Linked DNA regions of Canis lupus familiaris. The protein of the gene in region 4 interacts with the protein of the main gene of each other region in a pairwise test. Links are inferred from orthologs where the notes say so. Each region holds a gene or a part of one and is shown on either strand. Other genes may lie near its edges. The genes, in order: NEBL, FAM107A, HMG20A, CCDC136, PRPF31, LENG1 and RAB33A.

Region 1 (3,500 bases), on a different chromosome or scaffold from region 4:
AGTGAAAGGCAGAGAATTGGGAACCGTGTTGTCATGATCCGTCAGTAACTGTGGTGCGGTTCACGTGCTCTCCTGTTCACGACCCAGCAGTGTCCCCCAACCCTTTCCTCGGCTGCTCAGTGACCCCCTGCCCCATAAACCTCTTTATGAAATGGAAGTGGCCGTTGCTCACTTTACGTGGAATTTGTGGGAAGGAATGAAATGCCTCTGAAGTGCTGTTAGTTCTTTCATCCTTGGCGTCTGTCATGACTTTGGAATCAGGTAATGGCACTGAGCTTTGAGGAGAGTCTGACTGAATTGAGAGGTGAGAAATTTAAAGTTGTGTCCTCACAGGCTTATAAACTGTTGTAATGGTGATGGTGGTAACCCTACTAGTCAGGCTGCAAATGATAGGAACCCAACTTACACTGGGTTATGCAACAAAGGGAATGTTTTGGCTTGTGAATAGAGAAAGTCCAAAGTCTATTTTCTTTGAGGTTGGAATTTGAATGATGTCTCTCTTCCTTCCTCTCTCAGTTCTGTTATCTTCTCTATTGCTTCAAACTTGGGAGGCTATCTCTAAGCTATGGCCCCTCCTAACAGAGGGATAACTCATCTGTGCCAGTAATCCCAATGGGAAGTGAGCATCTGTTTCTTATAGTTACAGTTAAGGTCCTAGGAATGAATCTCATTGGATCAACTTCTATCCTGCCCTAATCTACACCTGCCCTAATCATTGTGTCTGGGTCCAGAGGAGTGTAATGTGCTGATGATCTAGTATGGTTCTCATGGTCATTCATTTGTTCAGTTAACTTCTTTGGTAGTTTAATTGCACTGTAAGTACAGAAGATTCAAGGGGCACCTGGGTAGCTCAGTTGGTTAAGCATTTGCTTTCAGCTCAGGTCATGATCTCAGGGTCCTGCGCTCGAGCCCCGACTCAGTCTTCCTGCTTCTCCTTCCCTCTACCCCCTACTTGTGCTCTTTCTTGCTATCTCTCTCAAATAAATAATAAAACATCTTTTTAAAAGAAGGATTCAAAATTATTATGTTTTTTAAAAAATTATAGCCATCTTTGGCTGTATCTGTGTTCTTTAAATTTATTAAAGCATTAAAAGCCACTGTCATGTCTTTGGTTAATATTATCAGCACATATTCCTAAATTAGTAATTCTGACCGATTCTTCTGTTATGGTGACATGTGCAGTTCACATTAAGAGGTCGATCTTGTGATCACTTGTCAGTAATACTTGGAAATATCACTTCAGACTCTCAAGCGCAGAGTCCATCCAGAAACAGTTGAATGGCATGACAGCGGCAGGAACAGCAGTGAATCAGCCTTAGCACATGAATAGAGGAGTAAAAGACCAAAAGAAGTTTTCAGTTATTGAACACCTACTATGTGCTGAGCACTATGTTATATGCAGTCTCATTGATCCTTGGAGGGCTCGTGCATGGAGGAAATATTACCCCCATTTTGCAGATGAGTAAACCATAGATGTTAAGCATTCCCAGTTTGAGTGCTCTGGCCTCAAAATCCGCATTCTTTCTACAGCATCAACTCATTTAAACCCACCTCCCTCACCATGTATAGAAGAAATCTTCAGAGCTTCATATAACCTTCTTCAGTGAGAATAGTGATATAGTTCTAAGCCGTTCAGAAACTTAGTTCTAGGTGATCATTTCATGGTACAATGTAAAACGTGTTTTCTTTCTTTCTTTTTTTTTTTAAATGTGTGCAGCCATTTTTTGGTATCCTTGATTACAGATGAATGTCTGTCTGCAGAGTGTCTAAATATTATAAAATGTTGCTTTATTTATTTATTTATTTATTTATTTATTTATTTATTTTTACAGAAAGAATACAAGAAAGACCTGGAGTCAAAAATTAAAGGGAAAGGAATGCAGGTTGGCACCAACACCCTTGAAATACAACATGCCAGAAAAGCTTCAGAGATAGCTAGTCAGGTTAGTAGAGTAAATGGTGCAGATGCCTTAAAACCTTTATTTTGGAACTTTGCAAATCATATTAACAGCCTGATTAGTACATGGAATTCCCCAGAATTTTATGAATAGTTTAAGAGTTTGGAATGGAAACCATTCCAGATCATCATGCTTGTTTGAAAATATATGGTTTCTGCTTTACTCATTTTCTTTAAATATCTAAGAAACGAGGGGGAAAGCATTTTACTAGAACACACACACAGGCCCTTTACAATACAACAAATACAACAAATTTCACATTCATCTAGACTATAATAAATGTTCTCATACTATGTTTTCTTTAAGGATAGGTCATGTGCTGTTTGGTGTATTTGTGTTTCCAACTTTCTGAACAGAACTTGAAAATTCTGTGTTGAGACTCTGACATGACAGTGATAACCATTTCTGTATAATTTGGTTGCATGTTCTCAAAATACCCCGTTGACCTCATCACCATGCCTGAAATTCCTACAGGGTTAGCATTTTGGATTGAAGTATTCTATATATCCTGAATGACCATGTTCGTTCATCTAATATTTTCCTCTTTGTGTAATGCATGTAATGACAGGATATTAATTTAGAAGTTTTGGCTTAGATGCTCTGATATGATAGATAGCAGATAACAAAGTTGTAGGAGTCAGACCATATGTGCATTTTTTGAAGAAAATGCCCCAAAACCAGTTCCATACCTCTTGAACTCCTCCAGCAATTCCGAGATTATAGAAGTGTCATTGGAATACAGAGTATTTGGGAAGAGGTGATTTTTTGAGAAACATTTAAAAAGAGAATGTTGAGATGCAGGTAAGGAGTACTGCTCACTTACCTCAGGGCTGGCTGCGGAGAGTTTTAGTGGGATTCCTCTGAGAACTATAATGTGACCCTTCCATTTAGGAAGAGCTGGCCCAGGATAGACTCCCCCCACCACCAGGAAATCTGGAGAGCTAGAGATAGCTGATTAACTGCCCAGTGAGCCCAGTGAGTCACTGCTGTGTTGGGATCCGCTTACGGCCCCAGGTTAGGGACTGGTCAGGGTAATGGGATGGTCATAATTGGTTTGGACCAAGAATCTGGGGATGGCATAGGAGTCTTGACCAATAGGGGTTTTACTTAGAAATGGCAGATTTGGGGGGGCGGGATGCATGCTGAATAGGCACTGGACCCCTCCTTCCATTCTCCTCCTGAAATATAGCCATTGTTGCAAATTTATCCTGCTGGATCTATTTTTATGTGTAGACAGATAAACATACACTTATGCACACATAGACTTAAAAAGTCCTTAAATACCATGTATTTTGTTCTGTGCTTGGTTTTCTCACTTAATATTATGGAACCTTTCCATGTTACTTTGTATAGCTTTACCTCATTCTTAGAGAAAAATTAAGTGTTTCATAACAAGGATGTGGATAGGAAACCATTTACCTTTTATTACACTTTACATGCAAATGACATGGAAATGGAATGGAAATTTGCAGATTGGACCAGATTCTTGGAAAGAATAGAAGTTTTGTATTTCAGACTTTCACCTAAGAACAGACTTCTAAG
Region 2 (4,071 bases), on a different chromosome or scaffold from region 4:
AGTCAAGGGAGAGAGATGGAAAACCTTCCCAGCAGAGAGAACAGCATGTGCAAAGGTGCTGGGGTGAGGAGGAGGGTGGTATGATCCAGGAATTGTCAGGCAGAGAGGGGAATGGGAAATGAGGTCTGAGAGGCCAGCAAGACTTCATGGAACAGAACTGTGTTGGACCATGGGGAATTTGATTCTATGGGCAAAGGTGGATCTAGAATACTTGATCCTGACCCTTCACTACCAACTGCCATTTCATAATCCTTTGTACAATAAGTCCTCACCACCCCGGAGCCAGGCATTGTGCTAGACAGAGGAAAGACAGGGCTGCAAGTTTTCCCTGGCCCAGCCATCTCTTAAGAAAGGCTGTTCTGCTTAATCAAACTGGTTACCTGGGACTTGCCAATGGGCAGTGGTTTTATCACGAGTGGCATTAACAGCATTATAACAAGCAGCACCTAACTTCTCTGGAAAATTCCTATTCTCCAAATCCTCTGCCCAGAGCTTTACACAAGTCACCTCATTTCATCCTCAGGGCCCCATGGGGTCAGGGGCCATCGTTACCCCTCTTCCGTCAAGGGGGAGAGTGTAAAACAGAGAATAACATCATCTGATTTATGCTTTAAGAGAACAATGGCTCTGGCTGTGCACACCGACTTCTTTCAGCCATCAGAGCAACCCTGTGCTGTGTGATTATAGGAGCACACACACGAAGAAACGGAGGCTCCCAGAGGTCAAATCATGCCCCCCACCCCCACCCCCACCCCCTGGGTCATACAACAGTGAGGAAAGAGTTGGGTTTCAAGCCCAGGCTGGTTCGGGCCTTAACCTCCTCGCTCCATGCTGTTGATAATAATGAAGGAGGGTAGCAAGTAAGGAGGAGGGTAACTGCTGGGGGAACTTTGAGAACTTGGCCCAGGGCCCGGAATCCAGCCTCCAGATAGTCTCCTGGCCTAAGCCCAGACCAGCCCTCCCCAGCTGGGCTACTGTCCTGTTGAATGAAGTACTCTGCTCTCAGTGTCTCCGCTCCACGAGAGCCCTTGCCCCCAAGTGTCTTCAAAGATCTACTATTAATGGGGCTGCTGCCCAGCCCGAGGTTTACATCCCCACACAAGCCAAGCCTGCCCTGAGCCCCATACCCCAGCTAGTCCACACAGCCTCCACTGTCTGGGGCCTGTCTGCTGATCGGTGCCCAGCCTGGCAAGAAGGCCAAGTCCTGCCTGCTGGGCCAGCCAGAGGTCACCCGCTGTACTCAAGCTGCCGGCCGCATGGTGAGAGGACGGCTTTGCTTCTCACCTCCCCACGGATGCCTCAGTCTCCCCTCCTGAGAGAGGCAGGGGTGCAGGAAGTGAGGAGCTACAGGGACCACAGGACGTGTGGGCCCTCTGGGGACACCATACCCCTCTGACAGGATCAATCACCCTAAGCCTGTCTGAGGAGCTCTGGGCTTAGGAGCAGCTGTGAAAGCCTCCTTTGTGCCTGAGAAGAATGAGCCACGAGAGGACGGGGGACCCTGGCCCAGGGAACCCCTTGGGCCCCAGCTCCTGAGATCAGCATCGGCAGGGAGGACCCCAGCCGGGCCCCCCAAGGCCCACCCAGGCCTGGTGCCCGCTTTGTGCCATGGGAGCAGTCCATGGGAAGAAGGTAAGAGCCCCCGAGGGTCCTGCTGGGTCCCTGAACATGGGGAGGGAGACTGCACCTACCGGGTGGGAGCCCCCATCTACCTACCTGCCAGCTCCATGGGCCTGAGCCAGGCACTGCCCACCAGCCTCCCTCCCTGAGCTCACAGCCAAGATTTGCATCTAGAAACCTAGCTGGGGCTTAGGACAAAGCCTTCGGATCTCTCCACCCCTGGAACAGACCTGGACTGCCCAACCTCACAGGCTCTCTGGTCTTAGACACACACCTCTCTACTTCCCTGCATACAGGCTCCGTGGCCGCACCTTCCCCGTGTGCCAGGGAGCACCGGTGGGCAAGTTACTGACGCTTCCTGTAAGTCATTTCCCCATCTGTAAAATGGGGACAATAGTCACTACCTCAGAGGCTTATAGTGAGAATTAACTGAACAAAAATATATGTAAAGTGTTTCAAACAGTGCCTGGCACATAGTGAGCTATATATAAGCTATGTTCTGTTATTAGAGTTCTCTTCACATTTTTATGCATCACCTTCTATGTCTGGGCTCTCAGTTGGAGATTTGTAGACAGAGCCTATGCAGTGTTTCTGAAAATGTGGTCTATAGAGACCCTGTGTCTGCATTAGAGATGGGGCATGGGAGGGGGCTTGCTCCACAGTCTCCTTCTTAGGGCTCACCCACACTTCCTGGATCAGGGGAAGGGGAGGCAGGGCTCCCCAGGGATTCTTATACACGCACTCAGTCCACATCACCAGGACTGTGACCCCAGCGGTAAGGTCAGGCTGCCTGGGCCCTAGCTCCTCCACCTGCCTTATAAGGAACTGAACCCCCCTGGATCTCTGGATCTCAGCTCCTCACCTGTAAAGTAGGGCTGGTCCTCACCCCTTGGGAGGGGCCACGAGAGGATGCTATAAAGTATGTAGCATGCAGCCTGTCACCCAGACAACCCTAATAAACGGGGGCTCTAACCCTCAAACAACTATGGTTCTGCATGACTCTAAATTTTCTGCCAACCGAGCCCAACCCACATTTTTCAAATTTAAAGTAAAACACATCATTGGCAGTCCCCATGGAACAAGCTTTCTGGGCCTCAGTTTCCTCATCTGGAAAATGAGCATTGGGTTAGATAACCCCTGGGGCCGCCTTGCACCAGCCTCTGCTCCCAACCTCCTTTGTTTCGGGTGCAAGTCAGGCCTGGAAACTCCTGCCTCCCCTCAGCACCCCCAGCAGCAGTATCCTAGAAGGTTGTTGTCCTGGGGCTGTCCCTTCTCCATCCCGCCATGCTCATGGGAGCCCCCAGTTGCTGTTGTGGGTCACCTGCTGTTCTTGTGTCTTCTCTGATACAGCCCAGAGCTGCCTTCCCAGCAGAGCTTTGCACCCTGGCCCCACCCAGCCCCCTTCAGGAACATTCTTCCAGCTTCTCCCCTCTCCCAAGGGAGAATGAGCTCAGCCTCTAGATCCTACCTGTGCAGGTGCAGTCACCTTGGAGAACGGCTTCTTCCCAGGCCTGGAAAAGACCCCGACAAGGTCTAGCCTAGGAACAGCAATTACAGCTCACAGACTGCCTCTCTCTCTCCTCTCACCGGTGACAAACTTCACGAATCGGTCCCTACACCCTTTCCCACGAAGTCCAGATGACCTCAGAATCTTCCTCAGCACAGCATCCCGATCAGAACTAGCCCCCAGACTGAAAAGCAGGCATGTGCTGGGCCCAGGCCCTCCTCCTGCCCCCAGGGAGAGGCTGCCCCCCAGGGAGAGGCCGCAGAGGGTGAATGGGAACACGGGCTCTGAGGTCAGACACACCTGAGTCAGTTCTTCCAAATACCCGGGGACCGTGGACAAGACAGGACCTCAGGTTCCAACCCCATAGACTAAAGATAATAATCCTTCTCACACTGTTGTAAAATCTAAATGACACCATGCCTGGGGATGAAGTAGATCCTTAGTCAACGTTCGTCTCCCTCTGGGTTTGATCCTCTCCTACCTGCGTCCTTGTCAGCTCTTCACACCCTCCCTTTGATCCACCAGGGGCATTAACATCACACCCATGGCAGATGAAGAAGCTGAGTCATGAGCCAATGTGACTTCCCACAGCCAGCCAGTGGCTGAGCCAGCCTGGAGCAGAGGCTATGAGCCGGCCCAGGCCAGGCCTGCTGTGGGGCTCCCCCGTCTGTGGACCACCCCCCAGCCCTCCCCCACACATGCCTCCTGCTCTGTTTCTGGAGGCAGTAACCCAGCTGGCCTCTGCAGGATGTCTGTGACACGCCTGGGCCGTTTGAGGTCTAGCACCCACTGGCCTGTGCTATAAAGGTCACGGAGCTGTCCTGGGGGGCTTCTCGGACCCCCTTCCCACACTCATGGCTTAACCATAGCTATAAAATCAGTTCTGGAAAACCCCTGGCAAAGTGGTCCAATCCCTTCCCCATTGTACAGCTGGGAAGACCGAG
Region 3 (3,500 bases), on a different chromosome or scaffold from region 4:
CCTGATACTAATGTAACATTGTTTGTCTACTCTACCTCAATAAGAGAGTAAAGGGGGAAAAAGAATTAACTGTTTTGTTACTCTTGATTCTCAGAAAGAAACAGAGGTAAAGGAACGGTCTGTTTTTGACATTCCTATATTTACAGAGGAATTCCTGAACCACAGCAAAGGTAATTGCCAAAGTGTCATTTTGTGTTTCTCAGGTTTGGGGGGGGTGGGGGGGTGAGATTTCATTCTCAGAGGGATTCATTGCTCAAAATTGGTGGTAGTGATATTCTTGACCCTAGGACTGTTCTGAAAGGAGAAAACTGTTTCTATTTCACTTTGTAGTAAAGGTAGCTACTCAAAAACTAGGGAAGGAAAGCAAGCCAGGCCAGTTTTGTCAAAGCTACTTTAATCTCTGGATCAAAGGGAGTAAATGTGCATCACTAATTCAGTTGCTTTCAGACTCTTAGCCTGAAACCCTTTGTACAAATGAAAGCTTACATGGGCATCCAGAATACAAAATAAGGAAGAGCAAAGCTGACCCCACTGCAGTAAAGATAGAGACCCGCAGCTGTGCTCGCTCCGTCTCCCAGGGTCCGCCTGTGAAGCCCCTCAGGCTTCTCCCCGCGCGGTTTTAAAAACAAAATAAACAAATACCAAGAATTGCAACTGTTCCTTGCAATCTTAAGTAGGAATATGACCAGCTTTAAGAATTAAAATAGCTCTGGGGAACCAGGCATTTTATTGCTGAAATTGCTATCTGGAAGGCTGTAATGAGAATAGGGAGATGCGGTGGGGTAGCTAATTAGACAGCTAAGCAGAACTTCCTTGCACGCGCCTTTGGGACTCTCGGAGACTCCCGGCGCTACATGTATCGTGTGCGGGGGGGGTGTCCCCAGCTCGGGAGGCCGAGCTCCGCCAGCTCCGGAAATCCAACATGGAGTTTGAGGAGAGGAATGCAGCCCTGCAAAAGCACGTGGAGAGCATGCGCACAGCCGTGGAGAAGCTGGAGGTGGACGTGATCCAGGAGCGGAGCCGCAACACCGTCTTGCAACAGCACCTGGAGACCTTGCGGCAGGTGTTGACCAGCAGCTTTGCCAGCATGCCCTTGCCTGGTAATGTCACCCTCACATGAGTGAGCATTCGGTGCTGGGGAAAGGAGCAGGTGCTGTCTTGTGTCGCTCGGGATTAGTGGGGTGAGGCTGAAGTCTCCCCACCAAGAGGAAAATCAATAAAATAAGGGTTTTCTTTCCTCAGAGGTTTCTGTGGGTCTTCGAATAGTATCTCGGTATTGGTTACAATCATCCAAATTTTCAGGCTCTCTGATCATTTAAATTTTTCTCTAATTATATTTTAATATAATTTACTTATCTTTCTCTTAAGTTAATTTGATATTCAGAATGGTAGAAACTGAGTAATAAATCCTGAGTAGAGCATTTTTCTTATATATGTTTGATAGCTTTATAATTTTGTTTTAAAAGGAAGGAAGAGGAAAACAGACACTGGTATTTTTTATATCCTCTCTCATGTTAAGGATAATCACAGCATCTCTAACTTTTTGTTATATGCAGCTACTCATATATACTGTAGAACAGTTATATAGCCCATCTTTTTATTCAGGATATGTGGATTAATTTCATTTCTTTGAGGTCTAAAAGTCTCTCTTCTGAAATGAAAATCTTATCTGTGGAACAGACCACATTAGAGTGGTTTACTCTGGAGTCACTTAAGTGTGCTTTGGTCGAACTGAAGAGGGAGGATTTTCTTACTTTCTCTCCTTATCTCACTTCAGGAAGTGGAGAGACACCTACGGTGGACACCATTGACTCATATATGAACAGACTGCACAGTATTATTTTAGCTAATCCCCAAGACAATGAAAATTTCATAGCTACAGTTCGAGAAGTTGTGAACAGGCTTGATCGTTAGGGAATGGTGAGTGTTCACTGATGCAATATGTATGTGCCAACACATCATCAAAAATTAGAAGACAGTAGACTTTCTCAATGCTACTAAAACCCTGGCATTACATCAAGTAAATGAGTTGGAGGCTTGATTAAAATTACTTTTACATGGTTACTAAATGTAGTAAATAATGTTAGAAAAGACTTCTTTCTAATGCATGCCTCAGCATGGTTTAATGGAAAGAGCATGATTTTTTTGTGGTTGAACCTCCATTCCAGCATTGTTAGCTATTAGCTGTATTCTCCAGGGTTAGTTTCCCAAAGGGTTTTCAAGAGTGAATGAGGGAGCAGTGGGGTGGCTCAGTGGTTGAGCGCCTGCCTTTGGCTCAGGTCGTGATCCTGGGGTCCTGGGATCGAGTCCCATATCAGGCTCTCTGCAGGGAGCTTGCTTCTCCCTCTGCCTGTGTCTCTACTTCTCTCTGTGTCTCCCATGAATAAATAAAATCTTAAAAAAAAAAAAAAATGGAAGAGTGGATGAGAAGTTTAGGGAAATCACCCCCAAAACAGCACTTAGAACAAAATAAATATCACTTAATTGTTAAGCTTCCTTTTCCCTGGAAAATACTAATGATAACTTACAACAGCAGTCACTGAGACATTGTATGTATCTAAACCTACGGAAGTAAGAAGCTTTTCATTCAGCACTCAATATCAGAGCAACTATTGTATGTTAAATGTTAATGTGGACTATCCTTACAGTGAAACAGCTATTGCCCTATTTAAAGAGATTAAGACTTTTAAAAAGGGGGTGGTGGGGGCACCTGGCTGGGTCAGTCAGAAGAACATACAGCTCTTGATCTTAGGGTTGTGAGTTCCAGCCCCACGTTGGTTTACTTAAATAAAATAAAAAATAAAAAGACTTTAAACCGATTTTAAAAATAAACTCTCAGTAAGCAAAAAAGAGAGGAGCGAGAAAATAAGCCTTCTAAAATAAATTCAACAAATGACTAGTAGTACATGTCATATCCTCATAGAATAGGAAGAAAGTACATTTCCAGAAAGTCTCTGCCCATAGAAATTTTTTTTTTAATTTTTTTTTTAATTTTTTTTTATTTATTTATTTATGATAGTCACAGAGAGAGAAAGAGAGAGAGGCAGAGACATAGGCAGAGGGAGAAGCAGGCTCCATGCACCGGGAGCCCGATGTGGGATTCGATCCCGGGTCTCCAGGATCGCGCCCTGGGCCAAAGGCAGGCGCCATACCGCTGCGCCACCCGGGGATCCCAGAAATTTTTTAATACTAATAGTCATCAAGTGTCATTTCTTAAATAGAATTCGTATGTGTTCACTTAAATTCCTAGAGCTAGGGTGCCCTGTAATGTGCCATATCCCACCAAATTGGCAACCCTTCGTCTTTAGGTCAATGCCAGCACACTGTGGAAATCCTAGCACCGTATGGTGAGGGTGGAAAAACAAAAGTAGACAACAGGATATGCTCCTTACAGTGGCTAGTCGTGGGTTTGAATATTTATTTGTCCTGCAGGTACACGAGCACACTCATAAACATACTCATATTCTAGCATGTAAAGCAAAATGTATGAGAATAAATAA
Region 4 (3,500 bases):
GCCTTTAACTTTCTGCTTCTAGAACATGATAAGTCCATTTATCCTCTTGACCATCCCAACCTCTGGGCTTTGCAGGTGAGTTGCGGTCTCTACGAGAGGAGATTTCCCTGTTAGAGCGTGAGAAAGAAAGTGAACTTAAGGAAATAGAACAGGAGTTGCACTTGGCCCGGGCTGAGATCCATAATCTGCGGCAAGCAGCAGAGGATTCCGCGACTGAACATGAGAGTGACATAGCATCCCTGCAGGAGGATCTCTGCCGGATGCAGAATGAACTCGATGACATGGAGCGCATTCGGGGAGAGTATGAAATGGAGATCACCTCCCTCCGTGCAGAAATGGAGATGAAGAGCTCTGACCCATCCAATAGTTTAAGTCTTTCAGATTTCTCCGAGATGCAAGGTATGAGAGGGCAAACCCCCTTCCTGGCCTGCCAGTAAAGCCGAGCAGAGGGAGTTAGTATCCAAGAAAATGGTGGAAGGTGGTCTTAGATCATGAATTGGGAACCTCTAGAAAAAACCTCCACGTTTAATTCAAGACCATAAGGGAGAAGAATTTATCTAGATGTCACATAACCAGTCAGTGGTGGTATGAGAAATGACACTGTGGAGGTGTATTCTGAGAATTCTTCCTCAGAGAGCCATTGGACGTTTGTTGATTTAACTATGGGAAAGCGCTTCCTGAGAAAGTCTCCAGGATAAGGGGTTGATCACCTTGAGAAACTTCCTGCAGCTCTGGCATCATGGCAGTTTGCCTGGACTGCGCGTTATGGGCGGGGGGTGGGGGGGGCTCCAGTCCTGCTCCCAGGTCCCAGGATGCTAATGCTTAGGCTCCTTGAGCCCTCTCCAACGTAGAAGCTTTAGGGGGCAACAAATCAGAGCACAAGACAGCTGGAGAGGAAGAGAGGTTATTTCCAGTAATACATGAAGTACTAAAAAGCTTAGAGCTCTGCTTTCAGACAATGAGTCTCCCAGCTAGTTGCTAGGATTCATGACATCAGAGTTTGCCTTTATTCTGAGGCTAGATTTATGATTTGGGTATAATGGGAGGCCCTGTATTAGGCCAGGTCAAGCAGAGGCAGTCAACAAGGAATCAAAGAACTGTGATTTTTTCCCAGCTGTAACAAGTTTCTCAGAAGAGCATTTGGGCTGGTGGTGCCAGGAGAGTGAGGCCAGCACAGTGGGAAAGCTTGGGTCAAAGTTAAACAGACCTGAGTGCAGAACCACAGTTCTGCTAATTAGTGGGGTGAACTTGGCCTGGTTATTGTCTCTCTCTTAGTTTCTGTGTCTGTAAAAATTGGTTAATAAAACTTTACAGTCAGAGGGGATCCTGAAATAGGAAGGGACCTTAGGGAAAATGGAGAGGAATCTGAATAAAATGTTGAGTTTAGTTAACAGTAATGTATGAATATTGATTCCTTAGTTGTGACAAATGTACCCATGGTAAGAAGTTAACAATAGGGGAAATGAGATGAGAGCTCTCCCAGGGAGTTTTACACTATCTTTGCAACTTTTCTGTGACTCTAAAGCTATTGTAAAATTAAAAGTTTATTTAAAAAAAAAGGGAAAGAAAACCTTACAGGACTATTTTCGGGATTAAATGAAATGCCTAGTATGTTGAAGTCCTCACAGACTAGCTAACTGGAAGGCTGAAACCATCAAGTGCTAATGCTTAGCACATGGTTGGCTTATATTAAAAGTTAGTTTCCTTCCTTCCTTCCATGGTAATCTGCAGTACTCCAAAAACTTTTGGTTGGAATAAAGAAGGAACATTAGATGTGAATTTCAGGGTGTTGACTCTTCCAGCAGGTACGATAGACCTTGTGTTCTAATTGGAGCAAGTCAGTATTCTTTAAATATCAGTAGAATTGGTATTCTAAGATAAATAATTCTTAATCAGGAAGAAACAAAATAGATAGAGGTGTTTGTTTGATTGTAGCTCCAGAAAGTATTAGTAGCTGGTACTTAGGGACATGTGCTGGGTCATTGCAACCAGATCTCTGCTGATGATTGAAGGTGATATGTGGGTCTGGTGGGGATGGGCTCTTCTGTCAGCTGATAAAAGATCTTCAGAATGAATTCTTGACCACATGCAGGCCAGTGTATTTGGTGTGGTGATAAAGTAAGTAAAAGGACGTTCAGGATGCCCAGGTTGTCTCCAGAAGGCCAGGACTGGCAGTGTGACGCGGCAGTTTCACATCCCTCAGCTTTTGTACTAAAAGAGTAATAGGAAGGTAATCATCAATGGAAACTTGAAATATAATAACCCAGAAACTCAATTAAAACCTTCACGAGCTCCTAAAATCTCAAGACTCTTCCTCTGTTGGGGTTCTGAAGATGGGTACACAGGGCAGATCTGGGCAGATGAGAAGAAAGGCAGCTATGTGAAAGAGGATAAAGACACATAGCAGTGTGGAATTTGGGGGGTTTTGTCTTCTAAGCCACTGCATGCGGTGTCTCTTCAGTCTTTAGAAAAAGAGAAGCTATTCAGCTTTCTGCTATCTGATTTCTAAGCAGGAAAATTAGGGGCTGATTACCAGTGCTTCTTCCCCAGGATCTCACACGTCTCCATTTGTCCTCTGCAGAAGAATTGCAGCAACTGCGAGAACGCTACCGCTTCCTGAACGAGGAGTACCAGGCCCTGCAGGAGAGCAACAGCAGCCTCACGGGGCAGCTTGCGGATCTGGAGAGTGAGAGGTATAACCAGCAGGCTAGGAGGACTCTTAGGACTCTGCTTTTGGCTTTTCTCTGAATAGAACCAGTGAAGGCAGATGCTAGGCTAATAAATGTCCCTCTACTTCTACCCAGCCAGTCTTTTCCACAGATGCCACTTAGAAGCAAACATGGAGAGCCAAGTGTCTCAGGACTGGAGTTCTAAAATTTAGTTTACTTCCATTCTAGGGATTGGGGTCTGGTTTGCTCTGCCCTAGAGTTGATCACAGTGATTCCTTTCTTGTCCACACAGGCTGAATTCAGTCAAATGGTGTAGTACCTCCCTCCAGATTAGAGCTGGCTGGATACAAGGCCCAGCCTTGAGCCCAACTAGACTAGCATTGTTAGGTCTCCCAGAGCCAAGCATGCCTTGATTGAGGTACTGGGACTTTTTCTTCACCTTCTTGACATGTTTATTTGGAAGACAAATCACAATATAAGGCTCTTTACCATCTTTGCCTAAAATAAAGACATCAGGACCAAGCACCCTTACCAGGTGATGCCAGGCAGAGCACTTTCCCAAACATGGTTCTGGGGTTCTGGATTATAGGACACGAAGAGCAACAGAAAAGTGGCTGGAATCCCAAACGCTAAAGAATATGATGTCAGCAGAGTCTCAGACTTCAGAAATGGATTTTCTAGAACCGGATCCTGAAACTCACTTGTTGCGACAACAGCTTCTGGGAGCTGAAGAGCAGATGCATGACATGCAGAACAAGGTAGGGGAAGGCAGGCACCGTCACTGTCTCTCTTTTACCCTCTCCTGGCCTACAGTAGCAACATCTCCTTAGA
Region 5 (3,500 bases), on a different chromosome or scaffold from region 4:
TCAACTTGGAGTCTGTACACCCCTCTAGTGGGCTACTGAACCCAAGGATGGCTTGGAGACCCCTACAACTTGCAAGCTAATGACATCGCTTGTTATGTGCAAGACCTGGAAGTGTTTCATATAGGAGTCCTAATCACAACCCCAGGAAGCAGGTTCTATTTCCCCCATTTTACAACACTGAGGCACAGCTCATGCCTCTTGCCCAGTTGTTAAGTAGAGCTCCAGAATCCCTACCCCTGTACATCTGCTCTGGGGTCCTTGTTCCTATGCCCCGTGTGACCCTATCCTCTGAGCTCCTAGTCAATGGGAACTGAGGAGCAGAGGGGGCAACTTGCTTGGGCTCACACTGCCCTCTGGACAAGGCTGCTTCTGGCCCAGCAAAAGGCTCTGCGGGGAGCCACATGCCAGTGGCACTCACCGGGGGCAGAGACTGCACAATGTCACTGTGGTAGATGTAACCAGTGTGGGGCAGCACAGACGTGGACGAGAAGCCGGACAGCGTCTTCCGCTGGGCCCCAAGCAGCATGATGTTGCAGGCGGGCATCTTGGAGAGGTTGGTCAGGCCCCCAGCCACCCCTGCAACAGGAAGGAGGGAAACAGGTCAGAAGGAACACAGGACATTTGTTTGGGGGCTCACCGAATGCTTTGTGCCTTTAGGTGAGTTTCTGGTTGAATTTCTGGGTGGGCTCTGCCTGGGAGGGCCTGATAAGTCCCCTTTCAGAAGGAGGATTCAGAGGAGGCTCAGAGAGGTGAAATCACCTGCCTGAGGATGGAAAGTGAGGCAGCAGCCCAACAGGAACTTGCCCCCAAGTCTGCAGAGCTACACAGCCCCTGCTCTGTTTTATAACAGTTACCACCATACTGGGGACACCCTGATGACAGGGCCTAATGTGAATCATCTCTGGGTTCCCGTGAGCGCATCTGCAGGCCCAGGGGAGGGGAGGAAGAGCTGTAGGTAAAAATGCCTACCTCTGACAGGGGTCTGCTTGTGCCAGGCCCTGCACTGGGCGTTTTTAAGGACTAGGTCAACTGTTTGATCAAACACACGCTTCCCACACAAGCATGGCAATCCATGTGTGAGCAGAAGAACGCCCCCCCCCACACACACACACACAGACATCACAATCCCTACAACCTATGACCCTATGCAGATATAATTATGTGAAGGACCTTGAGACAGGGTAGTGGAAGGGAAAGGCAGAGTCACAGGCATGTGAAACAGGAGACTTTCAGGTGGGAGGATGCAGGAAGCTTCTAAAAGCCAGAAAAAGCCAGAAGTGGATCCCTTCCCGGAAACTCTATACAGGAACTAATACCTTAATTTTAGCCCCGCAGTCATAGGACAGGAGCAAAGCCCCACACCACCAGGGAAACCAAGGTATGAGATGTCACCTGCCCAAAGATGCGAGGTCAGCGAAGGGGGAAGGAGGATCCACACCTGATAAGTTTATCTTGCTCTGAAACCACTGCCTCCTTCTGCCCTGCAGCTATGCACACACCTGCCACCCAAGGCTGCGCTACGAGCTAAGCTGTGTCTCCCTGAATTCCTGTGTTGAAGCCCTACACCCCAGTACCACAGAATGGGACTGTGTTTGGAGACGGGCCTTGAAAGCAGTGATTAAAAGAATGACATCATTGGATGGGTCCTGATCCAGTGTGACCAGCATCCTCGTAAGAAGAGATGAGGACACAAACAGGCAGAGGGGAGGCCATGTGAGTAGATGACCACCTACAAGCCGAGGAGAGAGGCCTCTGCAGGGCACAGCCTGCTGACATGCTGCTCCTGGCCTCCCTGCCTCCAGGGCTGTGTGACAATGAACCCCCGGTAAGGCCCCCACTGCCTGCCCCGACCGGCGACACTTTGTTAGGGCAGCCTGAGCAACCTAGCACAGCTGTTTTACCAAACTCCCCCAAAGAATCCCTCAGCTGAGGGGGCTAGGAGCCCAAGAGGGCATGCTGGCAGATGAGGCACCACCCTCAGCCCTAACACATCGTCCCGACTGGCACCCCACCTCATGCATGAAACCGAGATCCTAAGAGCTGACACAGCCAGTGCCAGGCAGCCCTAGGGTCTCTGCAGAGCTGAGGAGGGCCAGCCTCTCCAGCAGCCATGCTATCTCCTCCTGCGCCTGCCTAGTCCAGCCTGGCTCAGGGCTGCCATCCTTTCTCCGTGTGTGCAGGAATAGCAGGCTGGGTGACTTCTGTGATCTCTAGGAGGGATGACAGGATGAGGGTGAGGGGGAGTAGGGTCCTGTCCCGTAGAGGAGGGACGTGGCTTCCTCAAGGTCACACTGTCCGAGGATGGCCCCATATCTCTACCGCACCCCAGGGCCTCACCCATGATCTTAGCGGCTGTGGATGCCCCAATGATGATGGAGAGGTTGGGCGCGATGAAGGACATCCGAGACTCCACATATTCGTAGATGCGGTGCTTAGAGGCGTTCAACTCTAGTGCCATGTCACAGGCCTCCTCCAGCCGCTCTAGCTCCTCCTCTGACAGCTGTTGCCTGCAGTGGTTAATGATGTGACTGGGTTGGACCCCTGCCCCTCCTGGGGATCCCACTTGACCAGCATGAGAGCCCGTGTCCTCCTAGCGGTGTGTGCACGTCTGTACACATATGTGCACGTCAGGGCAATTCCAAGTCCCGTCAGCCCTAAGGCCTGGAAGCAGGAGCTGCCAGGAACCTAGGGCACCACCCTTGCCGGCCAGGGCCTGCCTGCCCATGCCAGTCTCTGCCAGGTGCAAGCCGGTGTCAGAGCCTTTGCCTGTGGGCCTCCACTACTCTTCCTCATCCTCTAGGTCTCTGCCTCGCCAGCCAGAGGCCCACTGTTACCAGCTGCCAAACTGTGCCTGTTTACAGCCTCCCCACTTTCCGTCCACTTCTGACGGGAGACAGTCAGCCCCTGAAGAGGGACCCCACACCTGATCCTCAGCAGCATGGCCAGCCCATCTCTGGTACATGGAAGATGCTGACCAAGTACTTGTGGAAGAAAACCACAAAGGGGGGCTGTTATCACTGTCGTTTTACAGAGGGGGGGCCCGAGGGTGAGATGGCAAAGGGGACTGGCCAACCCGCAGAGCTGGTAACCACACCCAGCCACACCCTTCCCTCAGTTACCCCACCCACGCTGTAAAGAGCACTAAGGGGGACCATGGAGGCTGCCACAGGCCCTGCAACCAAAGTCCAGTGGGTTCATGCTCATAGCTGCCCCCATCAGGGACAAGCTAGAGCCCACTTGTTCTCCCACTAGAGCCTGGTCCCTGCCTGAGATGGAGTCGTCACCTCCTCCAGGAAGCCACCCAGCCCAGCAGGATAAGTATCCCTTGGCACCCCATCTGCACTCTGACACTTGCCCTCCAGCTTGACCTGTGTGTGCACCTGCACCTGTTTCCTCCTAGACAGGAGCTCGGGCAGAGCAGCCTCCCGCCTCCCCTTTGCAAACTTCTCTAATCTTTGCCCTCAGAACAGTTCCCCGTGCTTGGCTGGCATTTATTCAAC
Region 6 (4,115 bases), on a different chromosome or scaffold from region 4:
TCTCCTGGCTCTGGCCATCTCCGCTGTTCCCGTGCTTTACAGCATCTTCCTGTAAGTGTGGCAGGGGCCTGCCTCTCCCTTCTCCTTCCCTCCTTCCTTCCACCCTCATCCAGGATTCTGAATCTTGGCCATCCTTGAACACTGTCTCTGACTTCTTCAGGATCCCACCTTCTAAGCTGTGTGGTCCATTCCAAGGGCAGTCGTCTATCTGGGCCCAGATCCCTGAGTCTATTTCCAACCTCCCTCAGACCGTCCAGAACTTTCTCTTTTTCCTGGGGACCCAGGCTTTTGCTGTGCCTCTTCTCTTAATCTCCAGGTGAGGGAGCCCAGAATCCTGGGTCTGAGTTTGTGTTCCCTGGGGGCCCCTACTGCCTGTTTCTAAGAAAGGAGGGGTTGGGGGCCAGGACTCCTGGGTCTGAGGAGGGAGGGGGCTGGGGGCCTGGACTCTTGGGTCTGAGGTTGGAGGAGCCTGGACTCCCGGGTCTGAGGGAGGAGGGGTCTGGCGGGGGTGGGGTGGGGCTGGGAGTCCAGATCCCCGGTTTCTAAGGAGCCTTTACACTGAAGATATGCTAAGAGCCCCCTGGGTATGGCTTCCATTTCCGTCCCTATAGCATCCTGATGGCATATACCCTGGCCTTGGCTAACTCCTATGGACGTCTGGTCTCTGAGCTCAAACGCCAGATAGAGACGGTGAGGCAAAGCGGGTTCATGGTAGGGGGTCCTGGATGTTGAAAGAAATGGTGGGGAGCGGTCGGCCTCACCTGCACTTCTCTTTACCCTTTACCTCTACCCAGGAGGCGCAGAATAAGGTCTTCCTGGCACAGCGCGCTGTGGCACTGAGCTCGGCCACCGGGGCTCTTCGACCTCCCTAGCCCTGCTCGGGACCATGGCCCACTTCATCCTGCCCCCGGACCCTATGGAAGCCCGCACCTCATCTGTAAAAGAGAACTTGAGAAGACCCTAAGTCCCCGGCTGCGGAGATTTCCGGGGCCCTGACACCCCCTCACTCTCGCGTTAACCTTTCTCGTACCAATAAACGCCGCTGAGACTGCAGAGCGCTTTGTTTGTAACTTGCATCCTGAGCCGGCCAATCAGATTATCGGCCTCGAGAAGGCCAGCCAATCAGCGGCCGCGTCCCGTAGCTTCAGGGCGGGGACAAGTGATTGGCTCAGGACCTGGTGAAGAGGCGGTCTCCAGGCTACACCAACCCGAATTCGGCATCTCAGCCAATCAGCGCTCGCTACGGACTTGGAGGGGCGTGGCAGCCAGCCCAGGGCCAATCCGTAGCTGAGGCAGGAACAACAGGGAACGGCATCCTCTCGCCAATAGAAAGTGCTCAGAGGTGGGCCTGCAGTCGGTGGACGGCTACGACGCCATGAATATCTTGCCCAAGAAGAGTTGGCACGTCCGGAACAAGGACAATGTCGCCCGCGTGCGGCGTGACGAGGCTCAGGCCCGAGAGGAGGAGAAAGAACGTGAGCGGAGGGTGCTGCTCGCTCAGCAGGAGGTAAGCCCCGAGTGCGGTCGGACGCGACTCCCGGGCCGAGCGCGCAGGCGCGTGGGGGAGGGGCCGGAAGCGGGATGGCGCACACGCGCAGTGCCTCCCGTGAGGCTGGAGGAGCTGGGCGCGGTTGGAAACGCAGGGGCTCGCCTGCGCGGGCCCTACCTGAGGCTTCCCCACCTGGGCCTCCCCTTTGCCCTGGTTTCCGCCACTCGTTTTGCGTGAGGCCGGGGTGTGCCTGGCTTAGAGTAGGGGCTGCTGAAAAAATGAATCCTGTGCAGTTCAAAGAAACGCAGACCCACGTTTAGTGTTCCTGCCCGACCCCTCTGGAGCGTCTGCTGTATGCTCGCCCCGAGCAGAGCGCTGGACCTGCTCTGTTCGTGCCCAGAGGGCACTGCCCTCCGCTGTGCAGAGAAGTGGGACGTACCCATCCCCCTGTGGGGCCAGCCCTCTCCCCGCGGCCCCCAACCCCGGGGGTTCTCGGAGTAACTTCTAGCTTCTAGTGTGCACGGAGTTTGAAGTTTGTTAACGAATCTGGCCCTCACCGCTGGCCGGGAGGTGGTCTGGGCTTTTAAAGCTCACTTTGGTCAGCAGATTGCACGTGGTCGAGGGACAGTGATCTGGAGCCTTACTGTATTTCTGGTCGCCTGCTCGCAAATTTTGGGCTGCCTTCCTAGCTGTTTTTATTGTGCCAGCTGAGGTTGGGAAACCCTTCTGGTTCACCAAAGGCAGCGTACAAACCCAGGTGTCACCTCATTCTCCCATCCTCTCCCCCAGGCTGGGTGATGCTCTGATGAGCCCTCAGCACCAGCACGGGGATTCTCTGTGCTTGGCACCGGTCTCACAGTTCTTGGAGGCATGGCTAGGCAATGAATGCTCTGCCTGTAACTTTCTTTCCCCCAGGCCCGCACAGAATTCCTACGGAAGAAAGCCAGGCACCAGCACTCGCTACCTGAGCTCCAAGCAGCAGAGGCGGGAGCCCCCAGTTCTGGCCCTGTGGACCTATTTCGGGAGCTGCTGGAGGAAGGGAAAGGGGCGACCAGAGGCAATAGAGAGTATGAGGAAGAAAAGCGACAGGAGAAAGTAAGCTGCGCGCCCCCCCCACACCCGTCCCTGTCAGTCAGGGGTAAAGTCTGGGGTGACTGATGGGAACAGAGAGGTAGGGTGGGGATGAAATGAGCTGACACAGAGAACTCAGTACTGGAACACAGCACTCCCAGTGTGGGTTATTGGCACCCTCCCTGCAGGGGCTTGGAAGTGGGTGCACGGCACTGTCAGGTACAGACCCCTTGGGCTGATGTCAAGACCCTGTGGAGGTGTATTAGGAAGCTTTTTCATCTAAATCAGAACCTGGGTCCTGTCACTTACCCACTTTCAGGGGTTCCCACCAAACTCTGAACTTGCCTTTGTCTCGCCTCACTCCTTTGCCTTGCTGGCGGGCTTTCAGGTTCATCTTTAAAGTATCTCCCCAAAGATGCTGCCTCTGAACCCTAAAGCAGCTGCACCCTGTCCTTCCCCCTTGTGTTTTTTGTTATTGAATTGACACTCTGCCCAGTGCAGGAGGCCCACCTGTCCTTGGAAAAATGGCTGAGTTGACTCATGCTGCTTCTACCTGTCCAGGAGCCTGGGGGATTCTGTTGTCACAGGTAGGGCTCCCTGAGTGGAGACATCGCTGACATCCTCAGTTCCCTCTTTCTGTCCCCCTCAGGAGAGGCAGGAGAAAGCTCTGGGCATCCTGACCTACCTGGGCCAGAGTGCAGCAGAAGCCCAGACTCAGCTGCCTTGGTATCAGCTACCCCCACGGCAAGGGGCCCCCCAGCTCAGCCCAGGTCCAGATGAAAAGATCAAGAACCGCCTGGACCCTCTACAGGAGATACAGAAGCACTTGAGGAGGAAGAGACGGCACAGTGGGGACAATGGTGGCCATGGCAGGAAGGGGAAGGAGAAGCCTGAGAAGCAGCGGCCTGAAGTGTAAGGAAGTGGGCAGCTGCATTGGTGCTGTCAGGGTGAGGGGCTGGGGGCCTGGGGAGGCGGCTCGCCACGTGTGGCTTTGGGGCTCCAACGCCCTAGCAGGGGGTCTGCAGAGGCAAGCTGGTTTTCCTGAGCCCCTGTGACCCTTCACTCAGCCTTGATTGTCCAGTGGCTTCTAAAGAGACAGGGCGTGAAGAGACACTGTGGTGACTGGGGACGTAACCTTGTTTCAAGGTTTTCTCGCTTCTATGCAAAATAGCAATAGATGAAACCCACTGACACAAAGCTTTCTGGGGTCTAGTTTGAGAACCACGGGGTCAGTCAGAGCAGGTTTGTGTCCCAAGGAGGACAAACCTGAGCAGGTCTCCTAGCTCCTACAGAAGGAGAAACTGAGGTCCTGGCTGTGCTCATCATCATAGCTCATGATTTGGAGGGGCATCAGGGGCAGTGATGGCAGTCCTGGGTCCTTGCACAGCATGAGGCCAGCTTCCTACCCACAAACCTCTCAGACCAGAGCAGGTAGAGGTGGACGGGGTTCCAGGTGGGGCAGCTCCTTCTTGGGGGAAAGTGGGACCTCTAGGGGCTATAAGCTTTCTGACCTGAGTGTTCTCCCCCCAGACCCCCATCCCTGGACCAGCTTCGA
Region 7 (4,151 bases), on a different chromosome or scaffold from region 4:
GATATGCCTAATTAATAGTTACCCCTCCCCTTTTATAACTACTCTTCTGTAGATAATGATCACCAGGAGCATTGTAAATACAGAGGAGAATGATGCAGCAAACTATATTTAGACATCAGCCAATCAAAAAACCAAAATACTGTACAGTGAAGATTGCTATTCATACTGTACAACAGTAGCTGGTATTCATCATGATGACCTTGGATTAGCCACCTAAGATTAAATCCTTCTCGAGTTAATTCTGTTCTCGAGATGGTTTTAATACTGAATAGTATAGTCTAGGGTTTTACAAATGGGTGACTCACGTGTATTGGAAAAGAGTTAGCTATAAATATATCTGCTAACTCAGCTAAAAAGCTTATTAACTAGAAGACCCCAAGTTTTCCCAGCCATTTTGAGTAACTTGGACTTGGCTGAGGAATCACGTTCCAATTTGCTTACAGATCTATCACCGATGCACTAAATTGTTTTTCTCATAGGGGGAATGGACTGCCAGGTTTGTCTCTTCTGCCACTCAGCTTCACACACAAGTAAGATGGCAGTGCATGTGCACTGCTGGAAACCTGACTTTGATGGCATTAGCAAATAACTCGTATGTCCGTGCTACTGACATATGTCAATATTGCCTTGCCTTAGCCTATGAAATGCGTTAGAGGAGGGATAAAGTCGTAAAAGCAAACAAAATGGGTGCACTTTATTGTATGTAAAATGTACCTCAGTAAAGTTGATTTCAAACAAGCCAATTATGAACCTGCAAATCACCCTCAGGAGAAGGAATGCAGGTCTCCACCAAGATGTATGATGCTTAGTAAGCTTTGGGAAGCTGCCCCTTAATACCGTAAGAAAGTTCTGTTCATTTATCATCTTCCAAGCATAATCCAGGCTTCTGGCAAATTAGACCCAACCACTTTGTTCTACATTCAGTTGCAGAGGGTTGAACCCTCCCGTGTGTGTGTGTGTGTGTGTGTGTGTGTGTGTGTGTGTGTTCCAATTCCTTTTGAAACTCCACCATTCTGGAAGGACTTCTTATCCGGACGTTATATCATATGGGAGACACTGTGAGGTTTATGCCAGTTCCTGAGATCCCTCCACCTGGGTCTGTAATGGTTAGCCTTGGAAACAAGGTTCCCTTTTGCTGGAGCTGCTACCACTAGCTTCCCCCCTTCTCCTACCCCCTGTATGGCCCTCTCCGGCGGCGGGCCTTCCCCATTGGCCAGCCAGACACAACCGACCGCGACAGCCAATGGAAACCGCTCTCCTGAACATTCAGAGGATGGGTGCTCGTGGTGTGATAAGGGGAGGTTGGCGCCTGGCACGCGCCCCCCTACATCTGGCAGTCGGTGACAGAGACAGTAACTCCCCCTACACACGCACAACCCGTGCCCCTGGCTCCTTCGTGTCAGCTGCGCGGGCCCCCACAGCCCACGGCACGTCTTGGCAGCGCCCCCCCCCCCCGGCTACTTGGGGCGCGCGAGTGCACCTGCTTACTCAATAAGACAGTATCTCTTTATCCCAAGGCCTGGGAAGGGGCCGAGGAGACGCGGGAGGTGAAAGAGGTATCTCTGCCCCTCCCCCCCAAGTAGTGTAGCTCCGGGCCCGAAGTGCTCCAGAGATGCTTTAGGGTGCAGCTCTCTTTGTCCTCTCCAGCTGTGCTCCCAGCCCAATGGCCCCGTGCGCTCCGAGAACGTGGGGGCGGGGAGCCCGCAACCTATAAAATAAATGGGGACAAGGAGAAAGGAAGACCTTTCCCTCGCGGCGTGTGCCGCTCTCACCCCCTCCTTTCCCTCCTTCGGCTTCCTCCCTCCGGTGTGTCCCTGGGGTCCAGGCAGGGGAGGGTCTAGGTGGAGGCGCGGCGGCGGCGGCGGCGGCGGCCTCTCGGGGAGCGCCATAGGAGCGCCTGCCCGAGCGTCCCGTCCGAGGGCACAGGCAGAAGGGGAAGGCTCGCGGCCGGCTCATTCCCCTCCTCTCTCCCCGGCTTCCTGGCTTTTGTGTTGGTGCCTGGGAGCTGTAAGGAGGGTGCGCTGGCGAGGGAGGGGGGCCTGGGGTGAGAGGCACCCCCTTCACGCGCGCGCGCACACGTTGCGGGCGCACGCACACACGCGCGGACATACACTCACAGACACGCACACACACACGCACAAAGCTCGCTCGCCTCGAGCGCACTAACGTGGCCGTGTGGAGCCCTCGAGGGGGGTTGGGGCCCGGGTCCGGTCCGGGGGAGATGGCGCAGCCCATCCTGGGCCATGGGAGCCTGCAGCCCGCCTCAGCCGCGGGCCTGGCGTCCCTGGAGCTCGACTCGTCGCTGGACCAGTACGTGCAGATTCGCATCTTCAAAATCATCGTGATTGGGGATTCCAACGTGGGCAAGACCTGCCTGACCTTTCGCTTCTGCGGGGGTACCTTCCCGGACAAGACAGAGGCCACCATTGGCGTGGACTTCAGGGAGAAGACCGTGGAAATCGAGGGCGAGAAGATCAAGGTGATCCAGATGGTCAGGTCCGGGAAGGGAGGGGTCTGGGAGGGGGCTTCGCCAGAGGCATTGCTCTCCTGGTTTAAACCTCCAGCGCGTGGCCCTGTCGCCGCTCACAGAGCCCAAGACCCTCAGCACCTCCTCATTCCCTCCCTTTCACCTTTCTCAGTGGCCTGGTTTCCACCTCGCCGGGTTTTGTTTTGTTGTTTTTTGGGGGGTTCTGTTCTGTTTTGTTTTTTAGGGCTGGCGAGAGTGGATACACTCCTGCCCTTTGCCCCTACCTGACATCTGCCACAGGGAAAGCCTGTCTGATCCCATCCTTGACCCTGAGCCAGGAGCAGTGGCACCTGTGGGCAGAGGGCAGAGGGAGGCATGAGGCATCTCTTGGTCCTGGTGTGTGGGATAGATCCCAAAGCACTTTACACATCCTGGAGTCTCTTTTACCTCTTGGGTGTGAATGGGCTGCAAAAACCCACTTTGGCTTAGCCCTGAGGCATTAGCTGTGTGTGTGTGTGTGTGTGTGTGTGTGTGTGGAAATTCACAGTGAATGAAAACCACTTTATTTTAAAATGACAGCCTACCGGGGATCCCTGGGTAGCTCAGCAGGTTTAGCACCTGCCTTTGGCCCAGGGCCCGATCCTGGAGTCCCAGGATCGAGTCCCACGTTGGGCTCCTGGCGTGCAGCCTGCTTCTCCCTCCTCCTGCGTCTCTCTATATATGTCTATCAAATAAATAAATAAATAAATAAATAAATAAATATTTAAAAAAATGACAGCCTATGGTTAAGATTAGGGCTGAGGTGGAATAGGGGTGAAGTGGGGTGGTTCTGGCACAAAGCCATGAGCCCTTTTAAAGCAATTGAGACAGGGTCACCCGCCAGTCCTTCATAACAAACTTGTTCTTTTGGAGCAGTCTCTTTCCAACGCTATCTTCTTTTTTCTGGGATACCTAATGAATGAACTGCTTCATTGCTCATTCTGTTGGTATTGTCTTCAGCAGGTCTTTGTAAAAATGCAGAGCAACTTATCTGAAGGCCAAGGGAAAGTGTCTTGCTCCTCCCCCCTTCATTAGTTTATTTATCAAATAGGCAAAGTACGATATTCTTGTCTGACCATTTATGTTCATTTTGATTCAGAAAAGGCAGAAACTCGACAGGGCAGAAATAGTTCATTGTGCAGAAATATTCCTATGTGCAGAAGGAGGACATGGCAAGGGCGGCTTCATGTGTCAGGGGAGCAGAGGGGGGCAGGATGATGGGCAGGAAGGCACCTCAAAAGGCACTGAACATTAAAGACCAACTCCACCAGGCCCACAGCTGGTCTTCTCTTGAAGCTATGGTGTGACCCTATTGGGTGAAGGTCACCCTCCCTCCCGCTGGTCAAAGAGCCCAAATGATCCTAAGGCCCCTCTTCTGAGTGATGTGGAGAGAAGGGCTGAGTAGTAGTAGGGAGAATGATGAAGCACTCTAAACCGTGCACAAGTCTGGAGTCCTTGATTATTAAAATGACTGTGTTTTTATTTTATCATTATTTCTTAAATGGATGTATTTTAAAATGGCCTCAGAGACTGGGCAGAGGCACTGGATGTCAGGAAGATGGGCAGCTCAGTACTGGTAAGGGAGAGCTCTGGAGAACAATTGAGCCCCAGCATCAGTAAGATAGGGCACCTTTTTAAAATAGTG

Evidence for each region.
Region 1: the proteins of CCDC136 (region 4) and NEBL interact in a two-hybrid assay, tested with the Homo sapiens proteins (2 studies listed by BioGRID and IntAct). The two-hybrid records come from large-scale screens. The link is inferred for Canis lupus familiaris from reciprocal best matches to the Homo sapiens genes CCDC136 and NEBL.
Region 2: the proteins of CCDC136 (region 4) and FAM107A interact in binary tests that used the Homo sapiens proteins (3 or more experiments, as listed by UniProt). The two-hybrid records come from large-scale screens. The link is inferred for Canis lupus familiaris from reciprocal best matches to the Homo sapiens genes CCDC136 and FAM107A.
Region 3: the proteins of CCDC136 (region 4) and HMG20A interact in binary tests that used the Homo sapiens proteins (3 or more experiments, as listed by UniProt). The two-hybrid records come from large-scale screens. The link is inferred for Canis lupus familiaris from reciprocal best matches to the Homo sapiens genes CCDC136 and HMG20A.
Region 5: the proteins of CCDC136 (region 4) and PRPF31 interact in binary tests that used the Homo sapiens proteins (3 or more experiments, as listed by UniProt). The two-hybrid records come from large-scale screens. The link is inferred for Canis lupus familiaris from reciprocal best matches to the Homo sapiens genes CCDC136 and PRPF31.
Region 6: the proteins of CCDC136 (region 4) and LENG1 interact in binary tests that used the Homo sapiens proteins (3 or more experiments, as listed by UniProt). The two-hybrid records come from large-scale screens. The link is inferred for Canis lupus familiaris from reciprocal best matches to the Homo sapiens genes CCDC136 and LENG1.
Region 7: the proteins of CCDC136 (region 4) and RAB33A interact in binary tests that used the Homo sapiens proteins (3 or more experiments, as listed by UniProt). The two-hybrid records come from large-scale screens. The link is inferred for Canis lupus familiaris from reciprocal best matches to the Homo sapiens genes CCDC136 and RAB33A.

Annotation. Positions count from the first base shown.
Region 1 is NC_049223.1:9,996,046-9,999,545, forward strand, and holds part of NEBL (nebulette), read left to right. Parts: intron 1-1,832; coding exon 1,833-1,943; intron 1,944-3,500. UniProt on the Homo sapiens protein: Binds to actin and plays an important role in the assembly of the Z-disk. May functionally link sarcomeric actin to the desmin intermediate filaments in the heart muscle sarcomeres.
Region 2 is NC_049241.1:32,298,413-32,302,483, forward strand, and holds the start of FAM107A (actin-associated protein FAM107A), read left to right. Parts: upstream 1-1,271; 5' UTR 1,272-1,608; coding exon 1,609-1,632; intron 1,633-4,071. UniProt on the Homo sapiens protein: Stress-inducible actin-binding protein that plays a role in synaptic and cognitive functions by modulating actin filamentous (F-actin) dynamics. Mediates polymerization of globular actin to F-actin. Also binds to, stabilizes and bundles F-actin.
Region 3 is NC_049251.1:39,282,365-39,285,864, reverse strand, and holds part of HMG20A (high mobility group protein 20A), read left to right. Parts: intron 1-94; coding exon 95-170; intron 171-884; coding exon 885-1,100; intron 1,101-1,777; coding exon 1,778-1,914; 3' UTR 1,915-1,920; intron 1,921-3,500. UniProt on the Homo sapiens protein: Plays a role in neuronal differentiation as chromatin-associated protein. Acts as inhibitor of HMG20B. Overcomes the repressive effects of the neuronal silencer REST and induces the activation of neuronal-specific genes.
Region 4 is NC_049235.1:7,699,469-7,702,968, reverse strand, and holds part of CCDC136 (coiled-coil domain-containing protein 136), read left to right. Parts: intron 1-75; coding exon 76-399; intron 400-2,581; coding exon 2,582-2,693; intron 2,694-3,258; coding exon 3,259-3,427; intron 3,428-3,500. UniProt on the Homo sapiens protein: May play a role in acrosome formation in spermatogenesis and in fertilization.
Region 5 is NC_049222.1:103,839,247-103,842,746, forward strand, and holds part of PRPF31 (U4/U6 small nuclear ribonucleoprotein Prp31), read right to left. Parts: intron 2,508-3,500; coding exon 2,338-2,507; intron 577-2,337; coding exon 419-576; intron 1-418. UniProt on the Homo sapiens protein: Involved in pre-mRNA splicing as component of the spliceosome. Required for the assembly of the U4/U5/U6 tri-snRNP complex, one of the building blocks of the spliceosome.
Region 6 is NC_049222.1:103,811,649-103,815,763, forward strand, and holds the start of LENG1 (leukocyte receptor cluster member 1), read left to right. Parts: upstream 1-1,315; 5' UTR 1,316-1,375; coding exon 1,376-1,507; intron 1,508-2,404; coding exon 2,405-2,584; intron 2,585-3,209; coding exon 3,210-3,472; intron 3,473-4,090; coding exon 4,091-4,115. Other genes in the region: TMC4 (transmembrane channel-like protein 4), read left to right, coding at 1-51, 161-316, 612-690, 795-872.
Region 7 is NC_049260.1:102,208,457-102,212,607, forward strand, and holds the start of RAB33A (ras-related protein Rab-33A), read left to right. Parts: upstream 1-1,351; 5' UTR 1,352-1,556; intron 1,557-2,179; exon of another isoform or gene 2,180-2,181; 5' UTR 2,182-2,221; coding exon 2,222-2,479; intron 2,480-4,151.